2 linked regions of the Arabidopsis thaliana genome follow. The protein of the gene in region 1 interacts with the protein of each later gene in a pairwise test. Each region holds a gene or a part of one and is shown on either strand. Other genes may lie near its edges.

Region 1 (6,692 bases):
CTCAATCCAAGAGTTTTAGTCTTTCATTATTTCATCATTGAACAATGACTATTAATGATACAATATGTGACCTAAAAATAGCTACCTTTTCAATTTTGATTTCTAATAACGTTATCTGCATCCACACCAGTACACTACTACTATCAGGAAATGCAGTCTTACTCTTTATGAAGCCACCAGAAGTTTCTCCACATTGAATTTTTCATATATTGACATTTGACATGTGCTGAAAACAATATCCATAAACCCATGGGCCTGTAGAATTTAATTCAAAGTCCATAAACCCAATTATAGTGATGGAGCAAAGGGCTTATAATAAACCCACCAATTGAGCACTACCAATTCCAATACCATGGTGAGATGTCTGAAGTGTCTAAAAATAAACTGAGCTGAGACCATGCACGAGAAATCTAAAAAGACAACTAAAACAAACGAAACTTTGATTAGGACAATTTATAAAAGAAATCATTAGTCTCTAAATTATTGGGAACAGAAAGTATCTATAAGTACATCTGTTTTCTTTCCGAAGACAACATTTCTTGCTTCTTTAAAACATCTTAAACGATTAAACCTAGTGATGAAGTTAGTATGAAAACATCTTTAACTGTTTAACCATTCTATTATAACAATAATAAAATTAAAATAGAACCAACATATACATTAAGAGAATAAATAAAGTTTCCTATTAAAGTAAGAAAAACATGATTCAACAAGCCATCTCATACTCGTCAACTGAAAATGCTCAAAGGCCAAACGCCAAAACCAATCGGTTTTAGTATAGCATCATGAGCAATCAAATTTGGAAACTCATTTTGATGTTTTCTCAATTGATTGGTTGCTCATGATGTTATAACATCTACTATTTTTTTTTGGCTGACCAAAAATAAAATAACAGAAAGTGAATAGTTCACTGGAGAGTGGTTCCGAACGCCGGAGCCCAATAGTCGGCACCATTGTCGCTGCCAACTTGTAGTGTGCATGAGATGGGAACAAGACAAAGCCCTCTACTTCTCAAATCTTTCATCGGTTCTTCGTTAGGATTTGATTTTTGATTGTCCGTCGATGACAATGAAACTCCTCTTTTCATGCAATACTCATTCACAAGCTGATTAACCAAATCAGAAAATATTTCTTCAGCATAGATATTTAAAATAATATTGAAAGTGTGATCTAGTGGGAGTATTGGTGACAAAACGGGTTGGCCTACTTCGCAACAGCCCAAATTCTTTTGCGGTGGGTCGGCCTGTATTACATGTAAATGATATATGGATAAAATAACCTATGCCAGTTTCATGAATATTTACTGTTTTGCAACCAAAAAATGAATATTTACTGTTTTGTGCACCAATCCGCGGGTTTAATACCTTTGAGTGTGAGTATTTTGTATTTAATTTTCTGAATTTGAAAAGCGATAAATTTTGCTTTGAAAAATATTGCTAAAATTTTGAGTCAGAGTTAATTTCAAACTCACAAGTAGTCACAAAATATAAAACCATTTGTGGGACAGGTGAATCGTGATATCTTGGTTGGAAAAGTTGATTTAGATCGATCATTTGCCAAAAAAACTTTTGTGACCAAAGCTACTCTGATTGAGGAAAATAAATATAATAAATCATTTAAATGGCTTTTCTAGGTTTAATAGAGGACTGAAAAGGAAAGTTGGTAATGTCATCTTTTTATTTTATTGACCATACTTTATCGTAGTCATTTCAATTTCAAGAGAACAATAGTAGAGAAAAAGGGTAATTGTTTTGGAATAAAGCTGGCAAGTATTTATTTTTTTTAAATTGAGATTTGGGTTTAGTTGATCCAATAAAAAGTAAAGTATATAAAACTAGAAAGTAAAAAAATATATGTGCGTACCTGACCAGGGTCCTCAGGAAATATACCATTCATATTTCTTTGTGCCTATATTCACGTAATTACAAATTAATAATGATTAGCATTCAGATACATTTTAATGCACTTACCAAAAAAAAAAAGATACATTTTAATGCCCCATTATATATATATGATGTGTTAGTAGAAACCCATGCATGTATGTGCATCTTGTAGTGTATAATTACATTATACATGTTACTAATTAAAGCTGTATATTAATTTAATACTTACATGTTGGTGCATCATATTGTTCCTCGAGGGAGTACCAAAGTATGGTAGACTTAAAGCCTGTAATTGTGAAAATTAATTAGAGTGACAACAAAACTAAATAGTTTTTCACACAAAACTAATCTCACAAAATATAGTCGTTAAATTAATTAATGCTATAGAAATACATAAACCTCAGCTAATTGTTTCAATAGAATACAATTTACTTATGTTATTCAGTTCTTATTATGATTTAAAAAAAATCCCAAATAAAAAAGGAAGATAGAACTCCAAATAATTCCATACTTGGGTTCACAAATGATTATTTGTGTTGTAGTTGTGAGGAAGATTCAAATAAATATTTGTCTTGAAATAAATGAAATAAGAAGCATGGTAGTTTGGAAAAGACAAGTCACCTCAATTTGACTGTGGAGGAATCTAATGTATCCAATAGCCTCCGACAAGACAGAGGCTGTGTCAGTCTGAAATAAAAGGGATCAATCAACCAAACAGTGACTAATATAATTCAATTTTGATTCATAGATTAGATAATCTTAAACAAGTGATTAGTAAAGGGAACTAATCAGTAATTATACCTTGCCAAAGGGAGATACTAGCTGGTGAAGAGATGCTATTCTGCCTCCAAGTTTCTCCTTTCTCACCTTTGATAAATACAGAGATCGTATATAAATACACTCTACATGTGATCATTTCGTAATTTAACGAATGTAATTAGATCTATGAGTGATTTTATCTATTTTAAAATGGGAAAAAGGAAAAAGATCATTCAAGTCTTTAATATATGATTAGTTTTTGTTAGTATGAGCGTGCAAATTATACATAAACATAGGAATTTTGATATTGTAGAAGGAATATGCACTTAGATTAAATCAAACATTAACCAAAACTTGATCCAAGATCCAAACAAAAAAAAAGGAAAAAGAATGACACATTTTGATAACTGATCAAAATAAAGTTATGTTTTGTTACAAACATAACAATATCAATTTAGACAGAACAAAATAAACAGAGCAAGAAGGAGAAAACATAATAAAGTTAATTAACTTCGATAATTTTTATTTTTTTGTTAGAAAAGGAAAGCTGAGCTAAAACTGAATCAAACTGAAAAAACAGATTTAGTATCTATTTCTCATTTTAAAATAAAAACTAACAAAAAAGGATTGCGTAACTACCGTTGAATCATAGGAAAGGAAGAGAAAAAAGAATAATAGGATCAAGAAGAAGAAGACACATAAGAAAGACAAAAATGTTACAATCACACACACATGCAGCTTATTCTGTGCCCATTCTCTTTTGTTTTTTTCTACTTCTCCTTTATGTTTGTGCATTTGTTTTGTTATTTAAAATGCCAGCAAGAGATAGAACCAAAGACATATGGATTTAGTTAGTTACCTTGAGAGTTGATTGTGATGAAGGAACTTGAAGTTTTGGTTTCTTATTAGCAAAAGAAGACCCAATCATCTCTGAGCTATTACACTTCATGAACACACATAGACAGAAACAAAATTCAGATATATTCATTGATAAAGAAAAAATATGGAGATGTTAATTAATATTTGGTAAAGATTATATCTTGATCTGAATAATTCACTATTTTGACCCACCTCGGACAAGTTAAGACCACTGTGAATGTTATTGTTGTTGTCTTCATTGGTGTTGATAATTGTAGCACAAGATTTGTTTGGAGGTGAGTTTGGTGAGGACATTATTCCATAACTATTATTATTACTACTCTCTTGTTTCATGGAAGCTTGGTGCCTCAAAACTTGTTCTTCCCAATTTTGTATCCTCTTCGCTTGGTAACTTTGGTGTTGATTTTGATGATGATGATGGTTCATCATCTCCATTTTCTCTTCCTCTCCCATCATCAATCCACCCCTTCATTCAAAGACAATCCATATTAGATCATGTTTGTTTATATGAAATAATATAAGTAGATTATGTATACATGAGAAAGAAAAAAAAAAGAGAAAGAAACTTTATAAGATCGAATTAGATTACAAAACAAATCCAAGAACTCAAAACCGTTTATACATAGAAAACATCCGAACGATAGATAGAGAGAGAGAGAGAGAGAGAGAGAGAGAGAGAGAGAGAGAGAGAGAGAGAGAGAAAGGGAGTTACAAGAGGAGTTGACTAAGGCTCCATGGCTGATCAAGAGGCAGATCACTCATTTCAAGCCAAGAAGAGAAGTTAGGGTTACTATTAGGAGGAGGGAAAGAAGGTGAAGAAGATGAAGAGGAAGTCGGAGAAGAGAAGAAGTTTGGCAAGAGACTTGGAATAAAAGCGGTGGTAGACGGCGGCTCGTGACTCATCAACGGCGTTGGTGGCCTCAAGCCGCGGCTGACATTATTCCACCAATTAGGGTTTCCAGCCGCCGTGAGATGTTGAACCGGCGAACTCTCCAACACTCCTCTATTCATCTCTTTTCCTAGTTTCTACTAACCGAGAATATGAAAAGATTTTAAGATTTGTTGTTTCTCGATGCTTTAGTTTAGGCTCTAGTTTTTGGAGAAAAGGAAAGAAGAAGAGAGAGACAAACAAATTGAGCAATCGATACATGTCAATGATGGGTTTTTTATGTATTTAACACCATTCTCTCTCCCTCTCTCGATTTTTTTTCTCTGTTTTTATTTTTTATTTTTTCCCCTAACATGCTTTTACTTTCTTTTTTTCTTTTCTTCTGAAAATATGGATGCCCATATGGACCATATTCGATATAACGATTAACTAATTTTGGATGAACGGAGGAATAAGTTTTCTAATTCATGAACACAATATTATAGTCTTTAGTCTTTACGATAATCTAACCATGATACAGATAAACCTAAGTGTGTAAGTTTATGTAATACAGTACTATGTATAAATATTTACTAGATTAATTAAGAAAGACTGTTATAATCAGTAATTCATTTTTCTATACTTCATTTTTGTCCATGCTTTAGCTTTATGCATAAAGTAGGGAGGGAAAGGTGCTTTTGTTATTTAATCGAATTATGTTTTTTTTTTTTCTCTAGATTATATTTCATCGAACTATGAGCTCAGAATCAAGAATGCAAAATTTTAAAATTAGAAACAGAAAAGGGGTTATATTTTTTGCCATAAGAGAAAAGGTGACCCGGGTTATATATTCGAAGACTTTTTTGTACGGTGTATAACATATTCGAATATAAATTTTTGATATTTCCCACATATATAACAAGTATTTTGCATCTATGCATATTTCTTACATCAAATTATCAAATGTATTTTAAACCCTTTTAATTCCATATATTTAGTTCAGTTTGATGTGATTTAAATTACTAATTTATTATACGATAAGTTCAGAGAATTTAATTTTGTTAAGATATTTGTCCTGTTTTTGTTCATATAATAATTTCTTCATCCAACCAATGATTTATATAATTCTTTTTGTTGATGGTGACTTAAATGGATCAACATGCGTTGCGTAGGGTTTTATACGTACCCACTTAAAAAGGAATTTCATTTAACAAAGCTAATTACGTTTAAATGACTCAAAAGTTTATATGACTCTTCTTATACCAAAAAAAAACTAATTAAAATTAGTTGTTGCTCTGTCTTGATATCATTAATTCATTGGAGAATAAAAATTCACTTTTAACAAATAAACCACCAGATCATAGAGTATGTGATTAACTTACATGCGTTAAACATTTAAAATGGTATAGAGTCTATAGACTACCTGATAATGTGTTAGGTATAATAACTGTCTACTTGATTGTGTCAGATATAGATTAAAAATATTGACGTAAAAAACATGTTAGGGAAACAAATTCATAGATATATAGACATCAACTAAAGCAAAGTTTTTCCATTTCAAAGCAAATGGTTCACTTATCCCTCTAAGATAAGTTGCTTAATTAATAGTAGTAATTTGTATCTTTGTGGGATTAATCAAATATAAGGAAAACAAAAATGTATATTTGCTTATTCTGTTAAGTATTCTTCATTTTAGAGGCTACCTCTTTGAACTTCATGTAACATAAACAAGTTTATTATTTTGGTATGTTAATAAAACTTATCCATTATCAATTTTCTTTCTCATTCCAACGTGCTAAAATTATATATTATATATATACAATGAGGCTCATGAACGAAAACCGTGGAAACATTTAAAGGATCGGCTTTAAATCACCATACATATATGCAATTTTTTCTTGTAATTTGAGCATGTTAGAGTAAGAAAAAATACTAACAATTTTTGAAGGTTACCTATATTATGCAGTATGCACCTCTGGTTTAAAGTGGAGGGAAATATTTAATCCAAAAAGTAGTACTATGTACTTATAAATAGTTGTTTTCCCACTCACGCAGAATATGATTAAAGCATGATTTCATGGTGACGCATTCAATCCCGACTAGAAGGCGAAACGGTGGATTTTTTTTTCGTTTGCAAAAATGAATTAAAAATAATAATATAAATAATTCTTGGAGTAGAATTTAGTTTTCATTTTACACCAAGAAGGCAACATTTCTCGAAGGAGTCAATTTCTAGGGTTTGGAGATCCCTCTGTCTCTCCAAAGAATGATTACAATTTCCAAGAAATTTTATATATGTAAAA
Region 2 (5,082 bases), on another chromosome or scaffold:
TGTGAATTACAGGTAAACCCCCAGATGTTGCTAAATGGCGGGTAAAAGCTCTGGCTCTACTCTACTTAATATTCAGTTACATGGTTTCAATGGTTTGTTCAAGGTAGCTAGCTGCTTCTTTTTTTCAAATTTGGATGGCAGGTGGATTATAATGACCGACCCAACGCAGAGCTGATAATAAAGTCAAAGACAAACGCTGATCTACTGATCAGATCTATGAACATTTGAATCTACTTTCAAGGGGGCTATTGGACGAAACAGAATAAGATGAATAACAAAAGACAATGTTGCGCTTCAAGGGAAGATTGCCTTTGGTCTACAATGTCTTTTTCTTGCAACGGAAACTTCCAATAAGCAATTTGTTCGCAGTAAACTGTGTATGCTAGTGTTCTCTGCATACTCACGGATTTTGTTCAGACAATGTGTTTTATACTTCTAAATTAGAAGTTCTAATGCATAAAGTGTTTGAATGCGCGGGAAATTACCTAATTATAATCAGTCCAGCTCCCAACTATATCATTTTGAATAGTTAAATGGTCTATCCAAATTAGTGCAAGAAAAAAAAGAGAGGCAAAACCATAATATAATACCAACATTTGTTTTTTCTTCCTTTTTTACATAATTCAGAAACACGATCCCACACCTTCATTACTATTACTACAGCTAGCACTACCCTCAAAGCCCTTGGTCCTGAAAATCACACTAAAGTCTTTGAACAAAAAAGAGTTACTTTCATCAAAATGATAAATACTAGCCAAGCAAGCGAGAGCTTTTTCCTTCTTTTGACAGATCCCGTTTTACTTCTTTACTGCACAAATCCTACTTAGATTCCATCTCCAATGCCTTTTTACTTACCTTTCATGAGTCACAAAAGTCTAGTAGTGGGAAACAGAGCAAAATGTCAATCATCAGCTGGGGACCGTTGGATGAACAAAAATCTACGGTGGAGGATTCATCTCTGGTTTGACGATTGAAGAAGATGTGTCTGGTGGCTGAGAATGGTAAATCGCCATTGCCAATGAGATCGGCATTATGCAAAGAGCCTTTGATTGCAAAAGTTGCATCGCTGCTCCAACGTTTTCTTCCATCAGCTTAGCCACTTGCCTCTCTGTCCCATCGTTTGACCATTTCTCCCACACGGCCTGCGTCTCATCCTGAAGAAAGTTTTTACACCACAAGTCAGTGCAAGAAAAACCATTACCAAAGTTCTGTTCTTTTTTTAATGAAGTATCTCTCTCTAGTCTAACCTCAACTGATGAAGATAATGGCATTTCAGTGACTAGTGGTGCGACAGCACCGGCTCCACCAAGACGGCTCATGCTCAGGACCTGCCATAGTTGACCAGAGATAAAGCTTATGAAGGAAAAATATTATCAAAGCCCATCATTGCATAAAATATTCTTCAATGTTCTCATTAGCTTTATTACAATAGTCCTCAATTGTGATGATTCTCCATGGGAGGGAAGCAAGCAAAAAGTGAAAGACACTAATGCCAAAAAACACACAATCATGTACTCTTTGATTACTCTTTATTGCCAGATTAAACAATTATAATCTTTTATTAAGATTGGAAGTTTGGTTTAAGAGAGTAGGTGGTGGTGGGGACCAAGGATTTACACCACTAAATCCTTCTGGCTGTTTTAAATAATCTTTCTACAAACTTTTAATGATAGCATTTTCAAAAACCAGAGAATAGAAAACTGAAAATGACTTGGGTGTTTACCTTAACTTGGAGCCTGAGAAACTTTACATAATCGACAATCTCGTCGATCATAGCAGCCCTATCTGTCTGCAAAAGGAAAGCAAAAGAAACAGATGTGAATACCGCAGTTTCTATATGCCAATCACAAAACTTTTCTCTCATTGACAACTCTAGTTTTCTCCCTACTTTTAAAATCTCTTTCAAGCTCTCTTCGCGACATGAAAACAGTAGCTGAAGCTCTAGAGAAAAAGATACCAACCTTGTTAACGGTAGGTACAAGTTCCTGCAACGACCTGATCCGTTCTGCTATTCTTTCCCTTCGGAGCTGTTGCAAAGCAAATACATTCAGGTTAGGTCTTACCGTTCTTAGTAAGTAAGAACTAATCGAACTTTCTCAACCAAAAGCTATAATTAAAGCTTTGATCAAACATTATCACATAAAAATCGAAAAAAGAGACCAGAAGATAAAAAAAGTGTATCAAACATCTTACCCTCTCAGCGATGCTATGTGGATCGGTAGCTTGACCTCGCCTAGCCCTAACTCTAGGCCGAATAGTAGACTGTTGATGCGGCATTGGTGGAGCTGGCTGTGACATTGGCTGCCCATGGAAAATCTTCAACAAAACACAAAACAATGCCGTAATAACATTAAGAAAAGCTTAAAAACCGCTTCTCACAAGAACGGTCGCCACTAGAGTAGTTATAGCAACAATTCAAACTATGACGGAATTATCCACATGAGAAAAGAAACTAAAGAGCAAATTTTCTTACAATATAATTTGGACATAAAAGAACACTCTTTTATACTAAAGTTTCTTGCAAAACTAATTTTAGTGTTATGACTTTAAAACACATCAAAATCTTCAACTTGGGTTTCTTCAAAAACATCAAATCTCACCAATCTGAGCCAAAAACTCTCGGTAACTATCAAATTTAGACCTAAGCTGGGTTTTCTCAAAAACGACACCATTTTGAAACCCTAAAGATTTGAATTTCACTTTATTTTCTCGAGAACACAAAAGAAAAAGACAAAGTGAAGATTCTGAAGAGAAACTTACAGGTTTCATAGAGGAACATCGATTATCAAGAACATCGTCTTGGAAACGTTTACCAGTTTCATCAGGTTTAAGAAAGCCATGTCCTTTCCCTTGATCGAGACTTAATCCCAACGGAAACATCTGATTATGAAACCCTACAGGTCCACCTCCTCCAATGGCACCCATATGATTATGATTCCCTTCGTTGCCTGAACCAAGCTGAAGCATCATCGGAGGTGGACCCACGCCGCCGATTCCAGAGAGACCAGAACCTGAAGAACCGGAGAAGTTGGAAAGCCCGAGGATCTGCTCGAAGAAATCGTCGGTAGGAGATGGATCGGAGATGCTATCATGTGGGATGTTGTTGTTATTAGCCATGAAGGAAACGAGTAAAGGTTTGAAATTTTCGACTCAGTGGAGCTGGGTGAGTTAAAAGATAGCGAGTTAGAGAAGAGAAGTCGAAGAACAACTTTCCATGCGAAGAATCTTGTGTGGAGTTGTTAGGTGAGAGAATGATGATGCTTAAGCTAATGAGGACGAAGAGACACAGACGAGAAAGGATATGACAAAAAGACTCACTTTATGCTCTCTTTCATTTTATTTTTGTTAAAAGGACCTTACTTTGTGGTTTATTTTCGGTTTTGCCCTTGTTCTTATATACCTTCCAGAAACTTGAAGTGGGCTTTATTTGTTTTGAAGTGGGCTTTTTGTTTTGACTTTCTTCAATTTATTCATATCAAATTAAGAAAAAGGTCTTTTACCAAACTCTTTTTAGTAGAATGTTAAAAACCAATATAACTTTCTTTTTTTAAAATATATAAATGATATGGGAAAAATTCTACGCATTGTCGGGGTCGTCGTCATCTCGTTAGTGGTAGAAAATAAGATTTTTTTAAAAAAATCTGTCTTTGTCGTTTTTTCCGAAATTTAGCACTCATGGAGTAAAGTTTCTAATATCCAATATAAAAATGACACGTTTCATTTTGCCATATGGTATTACAACTTGCTTCTCCTTAGTGCTGAACCGTTGTCCGACTCGTTTTCCATTTTGAGAGACAAGGGTTTTTCTATTTTTCACAAAACAAAATTGTGGCATTTCTGAATATAATACGAGTAAAAAATATGTCAGCAGAAATGGGCTTGGATCGATTTTGATTTGTTGGATTCCATAATTCAATCTTGGGCTTCCAATCCATAAGAAAAAAGCTTGGTGTATTTTTTTTTACAAATTAGAAGAAAGTTTTTTCCTCTTTAATCAGTACTCTTCTCCTTACCCATTAATGGCAAATGCAAACTAAATTTCAGTTGACCCGTCAAACAATAAGTTAATTTTTTGCCACGTGGCCATATTTCTCACCGGACAAAGCCTCCAATAACCTCGGCGACTTTAGATGGTGAATAATCGACGAACAACAAAGAAACTACATTGACGAAACAAACAAACAAAAACATAGAAGAAGAAGAAGAAGAAACAAAACAAAACTAAACAAGAAACAGAGGAGAAAAAAGGAAACGACGAGGAAAAACAAAAACAAAATAAAAACAAGCCTCGTTCTTCCCTTTTCTCTCTTCAAATCTTTTCTTTTACATATTTTCTTTTCTTTTTTTTGTCTTTAATACAAATTTACTAACTAATCAGAATAAAAATGGGTTCGAGTAAGTTTAAACGAGCCATAGGAGCCGTAAAGGACCAAACCAGCGTCGGTCTAGCCAAAGTCAATGGTCGAAGCGCTTCTTTATCTGAACTTGACGTAGCCATCGTCAAAGCCACTCGTCACGAAGAGTTTCCAGCAGAAGAGAAATACATTAGAGAGATTCTTAGCCTAACTTCTTACTCACGCAGTTACATCAACGCTTGCGTTAGCACGCTTTCGAGACGCCTTAATAAAACCAAATGCTGGACCGTTGCCCTCAAAACCTTGATTTTGATCCAAAGGCTCTTAGGAGAAGGAGATCAAGCCTACGAGCAAGAGATCTTCTTCGCCACTCGCCGTGGAACAAGGCTTCTCAATATGTCTGATTTTAGGGATGTTTCGAGGTCTAATTCTTGGGACTACTCTGCGTTTGTCAGGACTTACGCATTGTACCTTGACGAAAGGCTTGATTTCAGGTAAGAGTTCTTGTGCTTGATCCAGGTTCCGATTCGGGATTTCAAGTTATTTATGTAATTTGAATGATATCTAAGATATGCGGTTTTTTTTTTTTTTTCATTGCAATTTTTGAGGATGCAAGCGAGACACGGGAAACGTGGAGTTTACTGCGTTGGAGGAGAAGCTGACGAAGAAGAACAGGATCAAGCTGCGGCAGATCTCTCCACGGCTATCGTGGTCAGGTCACAACCGA

The links. The genes of interacting proteins can lie anywhere in the genome.
Region 2: the proteins of AT2G20100 (region 1) and AT1G03040 interact in binary tests that used the Arabidopsis thaliana proteins (3 or more experiments, as listed by UniProt).

Annotation. Positions count from the first base shown.
Region 1 is NC_003071.7:8,676,025-8,682,716, reverse strand, and holds AT2G20100 (basic helix-loop-helix (bHLH) DNA-binding superfamily protein), read right to left. Parts: upstream 4,758-6,692; 5' UTR 4,533-4,757; coding exon 4,234-4,532; intron 3,988-4,233; coding exon 3,714-3,987; intron 3,586-3,713; coding exon 3,502-3,585; intron 2,751-3,501; coding exon 2,685-2,750; intron 2,571-2,684; coding exon 2,505-2,570; intron 2,170-2,504; coding exon 2,113-2,169; intron 1,909-2,112; coding exon 1,864-1,908; coding exon of another isoform or gene 1,801-1,863; exon of another isoform or gene 1,244-1,800; coding exon 908-1,243; 3' UTR 542-907; downstream 1-541.
Region 2 is NC_003070.9:703,341-708,422, forward strand, and holds AT1G03040 (basic helix-loop-helix (bHLH) DNA-binding superfamily protein), read right to left. Parts: upstream 3,325-5,082; 5' UTR 3,118-3,324; coding exon 2,761-3,117; intron 2,317-2,760; coding exon 2,194-2,316; intron 2,028-2,193; coding exon 1,962-2,027; intron 1,790-1,961; coding exon 1,724-1,789; intron 1,329-1,723; coding exon 939-1,328; 3' UTR 509-938; downstream 1-508. Other genes in the region: AT1G03030 (P-loop containing nucleoside triphosphate hydrolases superfamily protein), read left to right, coding at 13-41, 142-228; AT1G03050 (ENTH/ANTH/VHS superfamily protein), read left to right, coding at 4,386-4,849, 4,964-5,082.